2 linked regions of the Neodiprion lecontei genome follow. The protein of the gene in region 1 interacts with the protein of each later gene in a pairwise test. Links are inferred from orthologs where the notes say so. Each region holds a gene or a part of one and is shown in the gene's direction. Other genes may lie near its edges.

What was found.
Region 2: the proteins of homeobox protein extradenticle (region 1) and homeobox protein abdominal-B-like interact in a protein complementation assay, tested with the Drosophila melanogaster proteins (2 studies listed by BioGRID). The link is inferred for Neodiprion lecontei from reciprocal best matches to the Drosophila melanogaster genes exd and Abd-B.

The regions. Positions count from the first base shown.
Region 1 is NC_060262.1:32,546,367-32,551,338, reverse strand, and holds the start of homeobox protein extradenticle, read left to right. Parts: upstream 1-1,904; 5' UTR 1,905-2,064; intron 2,065-2,472; exon of another isoform or gene 2,473-3,899; 5' UTR 3,900-4,086; coding exon 4,087-4,319; intron 4,320-4,697; coding exon 4,698-4,771; intron 4,772-4,972. Other genes in the region: surfeit locus protein 6 homolog, read right to left, coding at 61-782, 970-1,020, 1,120-1,255. UniProt on the Drosophila melanogaster protein: Transcription factor which acts with the selector homeodomain proteins altering the regulation of downstream target genes such as wingless (wg), teashirt (tsh) and decapentaplegic (dpp), thus affecting segmental identity.
Region 2 is NC_060260.1:2,754,674-2,759,698, forward strand, and holds the start of homeobox protein abdominal-B-like, read left to right. Parts: upstream 1-2,007; 5' UTR 2,008-3,046; coding exon 3,047-4,130; intron 4,131-5,025. UniProt on the Drosophila melanogaster protein: Sequence-specific transcription factor which is part of a developmental regulatory system that provides cells with specific positional identities on the anterior-posterior axis.

The DNA.
Region 1 (4,972 bases):
ACGCTTTTTTTACATACAGTGACAATTCTTGTGCTAAGTTGATGATTCAAAGAAAGCTATTCAAAATCCAGGTATGATTCGACCCTTCTTAGAAGCTCTCTTCAGGTTGTTTATTTTGTTTTCCCTTTTTCGTTTGTTAATGTTTTCTTGTCTTTTTTGTTGTTTCTCTTCCAGCGATTTCTGAACCTTTTCTTTTCGAGCCTCCCATTTTTTAGCGCTATGTTTCCTTTTTTGCTCTTCTTTTTTGACTGATTTTTTCAATAACTCTGGATTATCCTTGACTTTTTCCCCACTTGCCTTGGCTAGAACAGTTTTCCAAGCTTGTCTCTCCTGAAGTTCATCGGCCGCATCTTTTTTTCCAGCTTGCTGTAGTTCGTTTATCTTCAACTTCTGTTTTTCCAACTTTTGCAGAATCTTTTTGGGATCCTTGTCTACTTTAGGCTGTACTTTTTTAGCACCGATTTCTGAGAAGTCGAATTTACTGAAGACCATTTTACCTTCCGAATTGAAAATTGGTTTCGGTCTTGTGAACTTGGGCACATCTCCGTTCTCATGCTTCGCTTTGGCACCCCCAGCTGCAGCCAACTCTGTCTTGGCCAGTTTTTTCTGCATCAATCTCTCTTCTTTTTTACTTTTTTTCTTCAGTCTATTTTTCAGGCCCTTTTTCAAAAGTTTCGCTTTATAATCCAATCGCTTTCCCTTCAACTGTTCCAATTTTTCATGCAACTCTATTAACGTATTCGCTCTCGACGTGCCTGACCCCAGAGCCAAAAACATCTTTTCTATAACCCAAAACGAGAGTATTTGGTAATTAACAGTAATGGATGAACTTTTCATCAATCTTTTATAGGAATCCTTGGAAATATCAATTATGTAGTCTTTCCACACGCAAGCGTGCCGCTGATAACCAAGAACTTTAAATATTCTACAATTGTTATCTCTAGCAGACTTATTGCAAAAAACTAATACCTCTGTCATTGGTTTGTTGCTCGTGGTCGGCATCATCGTCTTGGAATTCATCTGCAATAAAAAAAGCGTTAAATTATATCTCGTTGTCAACCAGACGAGTCTATACAACGTAAGAATTATCAAATTTTCAGGTTATATTTGAGTTCGAACCGTTTTTGTGCAGGGCAGAGTATGGTATAGGCATACGGGAGAACAAATCTGTTATGTACTTATTTTCCCTTATCAATATCTGCTTCGCCAACTTCACGTCGAATGATTTAGCCTTACGCGTCTCTGTTAACTGCATCTTGTCTTTCCTTTTAACCACAAAATTTCACGTGCACCTCCTGCAGCTTGTAAATATAATGACGATGACGAACAGCAGTCGCCGCGGCGTGGTCAAATCGCGAAACGTACGAGAGAGAAGCAGACAGAAGCCTGAGAGAGCCCACGCTTGCACTTCTCGTGTCTCCGGTGTATTAGCGCCCTTTGACACCATACAGGTATTCAGAACTAGTTTTAGAGATATTTGAACGGTAAAGGCATGACGGTAACTGAACTGCACTCTGCAGTATCTTCAGTGATCGGCCATATTCGGCATCACGAAAACAGTGGATGTTAGTAATTTGTTCATATTTGACTACTGATCCCCGTAAATGTGTTCCGCATCGTTCACTGTTTTCACGACGCTTAATACGGCAGAGTATTGGTCGGTTACGCCACGCGTTTACCGACCAAATACCTCGAAAATTAGTGTCAAAAACCTATATCACGGAAAGACGAGCGTGAGCTCTCTCAGGCCCGTAGACTTACTGAGTCTGTGTCTGGTACTATCAAATGACGCACAGATGGCGCTACTATCAATTGGGAAACGTCATTCCAGGCAAGGAGGGAGTGATAAAGAAGGTGCAACGTTGAGGTTGAATATTCTTGTACCGTTATCAGCAGCAGACATTCTTACCGGCGAAAAGTAGCGAGCAAAACTTTGCAAGGAAACGTGGGTAGACGTCAAGCCTCGTTGTCACTTGGATTAGATTAGGTTAAGTTAAGGTTATTTTGGGTTATGTTAGAATTTTATCCGTGAATCCTGACGAATCTGACGTTTCCGTAAGCCAGGTATGAAACCATTATTTATTTTGATTTATCCCAGCTGACGGACATAATTATACGCACTATTGCACGCATACATTCATTAATTTATTGTTTATTGTAGTAAACAGCAACGACAGTCTGAAAAGTTGAGTTCAAATTTTTTCGTTACAACGGTGATAAATTCAACACTTGATAACAGCGGCTAATTTTTATTCCAAAATTTTTTAACATATAAGTTTCCCAGATACCAAATATTACCACGTAATCGCAAAAGAAATCCTGCAACATCGGTTCCAGTTCCAATCAACAACTGCATTCAAACATGGCCGCCATGGAAGCCATGTTTATTTGCCGCGCATGCTCACGGGTTTGTTTGGCAAATTAAACCTCCGTTTAGACGCTTGAGAGTTGATATTTTGCCGGTAAAACACGAGTAAAAATATTATTTTTCACCAATAAGTAAACAGTGGGACAAATACGTATCAACATGCCGCCTAATCGGGTACATAAATAAAAACTGTAGAATAAAAAGTGCAATGTGGGCGGAGTCTGCGTCGCAACTGCTGTCAGGAATGAGCGTCGGATGCGCGACGTGCGAGACTAAACCTGCCTTACGTGAATACAATCAGCATTAATGTGAAAAACTTTTATACAATGATCAGACCTTAGTGAATATCGGAGTGTTGGCGACAGTGCGTGTAAACCGTGAACGACATCGAATCGGTGATAGTTTGATGCTCGGAGGTTAAATAAACAAGCGTCAACGAAGAGTCGCGCATGGGGCAGCAAACAAGTGAGAGAGAGACGTCTCGTGTCGGAGGACGGAGCGCGAATGCGGTCCTCTGATTGGCGGGAACGGGTATGGCTGGCGCACGCACACTCGGCACCGAGGGAAGCTAGTTTCACACTAACCAAAGTCAGATCGCTAGAGACAGAACGCACACGGGCCGCGCGCTGCCTTGTAAAGGCACAGAGTAATGCCATACGAATGGCAAGAGTTTTCCAAATCGGCCTAGGCTTACCGTGAAACACCGTCGAAAACAACAATACCGAGGATTCGAAAACGGTAACGAGGATGACGTAAATTAATAGTTATTAAAAAGTAATAAATAAAACAAATAGATACATAAAATAATAACTGTAATAAAACGAACCGTGTATACGTAACACTTTGACAATCCGTCAACTAGACACTACTCTACATCATACCGACTACGAACCTAAAACATAAGAGATATATATATACACATATATATATCATAAAGGATAAAAAAGAATACAATAATACAATAAAATATAAGAATAAACGTAAGTGTGAACGTTGGAAATTCGAGACAAAGGAAATTAATACCAGAAGACACTGTTGTATATATATATATATATATATATATATTGTATATACACATATATATATATACACACATATAAATACATATACGATGCTGATAGTGTCTACGAATTATTTTCAATCGCGTTTTAATGTAACAAATCGATAATAATAACCACAGTGATTATTATTGTTATTGTTATTATTATTACCGTAGTTGCGAGTATATACATATATATATTTCCAAATAATCCCGAAGAGAACGACGAAGGTAGCAGAGTTTGCCGTATTTACACACGGAGAAACATATGTACGCGATATAAGATTCGTTGTTAGTTACGGATAAAGTGGAACACGTGTTGAAAAATTAATACAACGACGAAAGTTTGTGCGCGAGATGGGAGTATTTTAATAATCATCATCATCATCGTCCAATAATAATCGCAAAATAGAAGAGAAATGAGAAAGTGAAACGCGTCGGTTGGCGATTGTTTGATTGTTTGTTTACTGTTGTGTGTTTCTTTGTTTTTAGTTCTTGTAAATCTTGTAAAGAAAACCATTCGGGATCAGTCATTCGTCGCTCCGAAGTCCTGACAAAATCGCGAGAGGCATCATAAAAAAAAAAAACGAAAAAAAAAAAACTAAAAACAAAAACAGAGCAAAGAGAACATCGGTGCTCCAGCGAGCCGCCAGACGTAAACGGAGCTGGTACTCAGTTGATGGATGAAACTGGAAGGATGCTGCAACACGGTGGTTCAGGTGTGAGTCTGATGGGGGGCAACCAGGGTCAAGGGGCCCAAAACACGGGGGGCTACGGCAGCATGGGGCCCGTCGATGCGAGCGCGGCTCAAGGCCCCGATCAGAGCGTCGAGGCGAGGAAACAGGACATCGGCGAAATATTACAGCAGATTATGAACATAACGGACCAAAGTTTGGACGAGGCACAGGCTAGGTAATTAAATTCCCAATTCAATCATTTCGCGAGTATACTTTAGGGAAAATATGAATATCGCGCGGACGAAATTCCGTCGGGAACTTGATTCTGTCGATGATTCAGGGATCGATACTCTGTAATTTAGAATGGAAAGAGGTGACGATTACGGTAACAAGTGCCTGCTCATAGAGTTACTAATGCGTTGAGTGTAATTCGTTTTCATAACCGAAATAAAGGAGGCGCAAAATACGACAAGCGATCGGTTTGAGAGTTGTTTAACACTTGAATATACCGGCCTTATTGCGGGTTATTGTTGTTTTTAATTTATATCGAATATGTGTACGCTGTCTGTTTAAACAATAGTTAAACGTCTTTTCTGTTTGTTATTGTCCACAGAAAACACACGCTAAATTGCCACAGAATGAAACCAGCCCTATTCTCCGTCTTGTGCGAAATCAAAGAAAAAACTGGTAAGCTAAGACATCAGATACCTGCATTATCGAATTCGAATTTCATACGTTGTTCAAATGCTGTACGATACATTCCGACCTACGTTTTCGCGATTATTCAACGACTGTCGCCGTCCGTGCAGAGAATCGAAAAAGAAGGTCACACGGCTACATGCAGTTCGTGCACACGTCCGTTTGTTTATACTTCGCCTCAAGCCGGAG
Region 2 (5,025 bases), on another chromosome or scaffold:
AACGGTCTTGCGCATCGCTGCAAAGTAGTGACGGCGCGTGTATGGTCCGGCGGTGCGAAGCCGCGGAGGAGTCACGGGACAGAGCGACATCAACCACCGAGAGGCATTGTTGTCGGACCGTTTTACTTTACTGCCCATAAAAGTACCGAGATTTAGACTGCAGTAGAACCGTGACGTAACGACGTATTGTTGCGGTACACTGAGCACGCTGGTGCTTTTCCCTTGCCCCCACGGGGTTTTGCCGCAAGCTACCGTCAAACGCCGTTCGCTCACTCGGTCAAGTTTAATTTCTCCGCTCGTAGGGGAGAGCTTTCGCGTGGCGTCGTTGGAGGGGGGAGGATTTTTAATTCGTAGCACGCGTGATCCTTGTAACGTAATTGTTCCTGGGGTTACGGATCGCGTTTTTTTCCTAAAACGAGGGTAAAAAGAAATTTCTTCAAATAAATAAGTGATTAAAAAACCGTCCAAGTCGACCCGAATCTTGTGATCGCCGTTCGCGCAAGGAGAGGGAATCGAGATTCTCCCCGCAGCGGTAGCGGATCTCGCGAGAAGAGAAGCTAGCCGAGAATTTGGGCGGGAGGGAAGGAGACGTTGAGATAAAGAGAGCGCGAGACGTCGTGAGATTGGGGGGGCGGAGGGGTGAGCGGCGACAGAATAGAGCGGTTGACGGGCGCGCCGACAGATCGCGCGGTCGGCGCTCATCGAGTTCGTCGGGAGTTCGCGCCGGCGGAGCTCAGTGAGCGCTCAGTACGGCTCGGCGAGGCTAAGCGAGAAGAAAGGGGCTCCCTTTCGTGTTGACGTTGGTTTGGAACCGTGCGCGCCTACAAGCCAGAGCGACCCTTCCTTCTTCGACCCTCCGACAAACTCGGGGGAAAGAATTTATCGCGCGATATAACGCGAGGGAGAAAACCTGGAGTATCAGTCAGTCACCCCGGCGCTCAGCCCTTCGGGGGGAGAAAGGACTGCGAGCCGCTTCTTCTACTACTGCTGTATTTTCGTCGGAGCCAGACGGACGGACGGTCACCGCCTGGGCCGTCTGATCGTAACGGAGCGTTTCTACTCGACCGAACACTCGGGACCAGCTTTTGGACACCCAGTGTTCCGCTTGTAAAGGCGTTGGAGGAAAAAAAAAAGAAAAAAAAGAAGCAGCAGCAACGGAGAAAGAGGGAGAGAAAAAAAAAGAAAAGGCGTGCGCGCGCGCGCTCCTCGGCGTTTGAGTGGATATTTAATTGCTGCACGCAGTGTCGGGGGGGTTGAGTGCGATTGTTGCATTTTTTGACTTACGGATGAGAAGAGAAAAAACGAGAAAAAAACTACGACAAGCAAAAGCATCAACGTAAATAAAGATTTACGAAAAATAATAAACTGCAACGAGACGAAGATTAACCATTTCTTTTTTCCTCGTTATCTTTTCACCTCTGTCTCTCTCACTCTAGCTCTCACTTTCCGTACAAACTGTACACAAATAACGTTGCTAATTCTCGTTGAAACGAGAGGCAAGAAGATTGTGATGTTCGGGGTGACAGTTTTGCATAAATTACACGACACCGTGATGATTGTACGACTTCGGCTTATCGCCAGGGATCGTCGACTATCCAGTTGTTAGGGGAAAAGTACGTGCAGAGCTCGGAGTGATATTTATATATATATATATATATATATATATATATGTGTGTGTATATATGTAGTTTTTTCTCATCTTCTCTGCAAAATAGTACACCACAGCAGGTGTAATTTTTTTTTCCATGCCAAGTGTCTCGTTGATCCTGTGAAATGACGGACTGATTTATACGTATGCATGCACATTACATACATATATATGTGTGTGTGTACATATATATATCCATATACGTATATGTATACATGTATGCAGGGGGTAAAATTTTTCCCATATAACCGTGCGTGATAAACAATAAGAGACGACGAAAAAAACAGACAAGTGTTTCAAAGAGCAGAGAAAACTGTTCGATACAACAACGATCGAGTCCCTTCGTTGACGATAAAATATACCGTTCATAATAATAATAATAATAATAATAATAATAATAATAATAATAATAATACCTGCACACGATCAACATACTAAATCGCGTGTGTGTATCTTATTTCTGTTTCATCTAAAAATCTTCGCTTCGTTGGAAATTACGAATATATAATTACAACAAAACTGGACCGACTCGTCGTCGATCGCTGCTGGATGATGCAAATCTGATTACCTCCTCCCCCCCCCCCCCCCCCCCCCCCCACCACCGCAAAAAATAAAACAAACAACAATAACCCTTCCGCATCCTTATCAACGGCCTTTTTCTAACTCGACTTCTCTTCCACGGTTCTCCTCTTTTTTTATTTTGGTCGTCGACCTTCCCACCCTCCCCACGCTCTCGCTCTACACGTCCTTCTCTCTCTCTCTCTCTCTCTCTCTCTGTCTCTCTCTCTCTCTCACTCACTCACTCTTTTTCTCCCTCTCTGTCTGTCTCCCGCTCTTCTCCCCCACGGCCGCCACCCTCCACCTGTCTGCCGCGTCGTCTCTGCCCCCCCCCCTTCTCCACCCCCCGTCCACCCCATCCCCTCCACCGCTCCTTCACCCCACCCCACGTCATCCGGTCAACACGCGACTGTCTCCTTTATTTACACCGCGAACTACGACGACGACGATGCTGTGCCGCAACGTGAACGGGAACGCCGACCTCCTCGCCGCCTCATCCTCGTCATCGTCATCATCATCGTGGTGAACGGTTTGACGTGAACAAAAAACAAACAAAAAAAAAAATATACCAACAAAAAAAAAACGACAAAACATATATCTAAAAATAAAACTAAAAACCACCAATCGGGTTCGTCCCGACGTATCCGGTGTTGTGAGAAATCCGTATCACCGAAAACCCGCTGCCTGATTCATCCACGATCATTATAACCCCGGCAATAAACCGTCACCATCTGCACCATCGCCGATCACGTGGCTTGTTCGACGGCGACACTGTACGACAATGTTCACGCCGCACCCTTGTGCGGTTCCGGCGTGGGCCACCCTGGCTCCGTCACGCCGATGGGTGCAGCCGCCGGAGCGGGGAATTCCGCCGGGGTGACGACCTGGTGGAACATCATGAACAGCGGCTTCTACGAGGACAGCTCCCCGCCAGTACCGCCGACCTCCTCTCTCCTGCCGATCCAGCAACAGCAGCAGCAGCCGCAGCAGCAGCAGCAGCAGAACTCGACGCCAGGCTCTCACCCGCAGGCGACGACACCGACTTCCCCGGGCGCCCCCGCATCGGCCGGCACCGTTCCACCCCCGCCTACGGCGAGCGCGAGTTCGACGTCACCGAGCGCCTCGTCGGTCGCGAGCAACAGCGCGGCGGGTCCTCTCCACATACCGGCGAAGCGGCTGACCGCCACCCCCGGGGGCGGTTCGACCTACGGCGAGGTTCCCTGCGTCGAGCCCTCAGGGGCGGCGGGCGCGGGGGCGGGCGGCGTGATAAGGCACTCGCACTCCTCGACGGGCGGCTCTCAGGGCGGCTGGAGCTACAGCCCTCACCACCCCCAGGACCCTGCCCACTACGGGGCTTCGGGGCCCGCGGCGGACCCGCTGAACCACCACCAGGCTTACGGGGGCGCGAACCCCCCCACCTACTACAACCTGGCGGCCGACCCGAGCTCGACGACGGGATCCTCGAGGGACAGCCGAAAGGCCGCCGCCGCTCTCAGCTTCTGGTCACCGGCGGCGGCCACGGCCTCCTCGGGGGGCGCCGGCGGACCCACCCCCGCTGACTATAAGTCTTACAACTCGTCGGGGGGCGCCACCGGTGCGACTTCCTCCGCCGGCGGGGGCGGATCGACTTCCGGCTCGGCCGGCGACCCCGCCGTCTCCTGCCACCAGAGCTTCTCCCCAAGCTGGTGCAACTACTCCCCCTACTCGACGGCCAGGCATCATCATCCCGTCGACACCGCCGGTCATCACCACCCCCACTCCCAGGCCGGTATACCCTACCTCACACCCTCGGCGGCTGACGATCGGGGAAGGACCGCCGCCGCCATGGTCGCCGCCGAGGGGGCCTTTCCTCACGACGGATACGGGAGTCTCAGGAACTACGGGGCACCGGAACCGGTCACCTCCAGCCCTTATCCGCCTCCAGGTAAGCATCGATGCCGATTTCGAGCCACCCCCGCGACCTTACACTTTCGTCATTCCCGTCGTTTCGTTGATCGCGAAAAGAGTTGCTCGACGTCTGCGGAACGTCGTGTTCCACGTGTTTTGCAGCGTAATGCACGCGTGTGCGTGTACGCTTACGAACGCCGAGTGGGATCGACGCACGACGTAAAAGTATACGTGTGTGAGAGTCGTTCGTTCATTCATGCGTTCTTCGCGTTCACGCCTGTATAGACCGGTACACCTAGGTACGCGTACGTGTGCGTACGTAGGTGAAGAGAGCTCGAACGCGTTTTCCCTCGCACCCTTCTCCCTCTACCCCCCCACCGTTTCGTCCCCCTACGAACCGTGAAACGTCGCAGCGAACAACGGCCCGTGGTGAGTTTATTGGCGGCCGTAACTCGTAAACCCTGGCGCGCGCCTCCGATCAGCTGATCTGCCTCGTTCCTCGACCCGCTGGTCCGTCGTCTGCCTTCCTTTACTCCGTATACGCTGACTCTCTCTCTCTCTCTCTCTCCTTCCCTCTTTCTCTTTCTCTCTCGGAGTCGGTTCCTCTGCTCTTCATCGTTCAACGTACTCCTTTTTCACGCACGCTAATTCGTATTATCGTTAGCCAAGGCTTGTGTTCGTATTATTTATATTGCTTTCCCTTTCTCTCTCTCTTTTTCTCTCTCTATTTTTCTCTCCGGTAGTTTTTAAGACCCCGTTTCGACATATCCACGATCCGATCAAAAACTTCAGTCCGATAGCAAATATTTGACCGCATGAATTCACAACGTGATTCTCTTCTCAGCCCGAATGATATACATACACGTACGATATGTTATAATTATGATTACATTTTTAATAGTTTTTTTTTTTTTATTCCGTATAACGTGTAG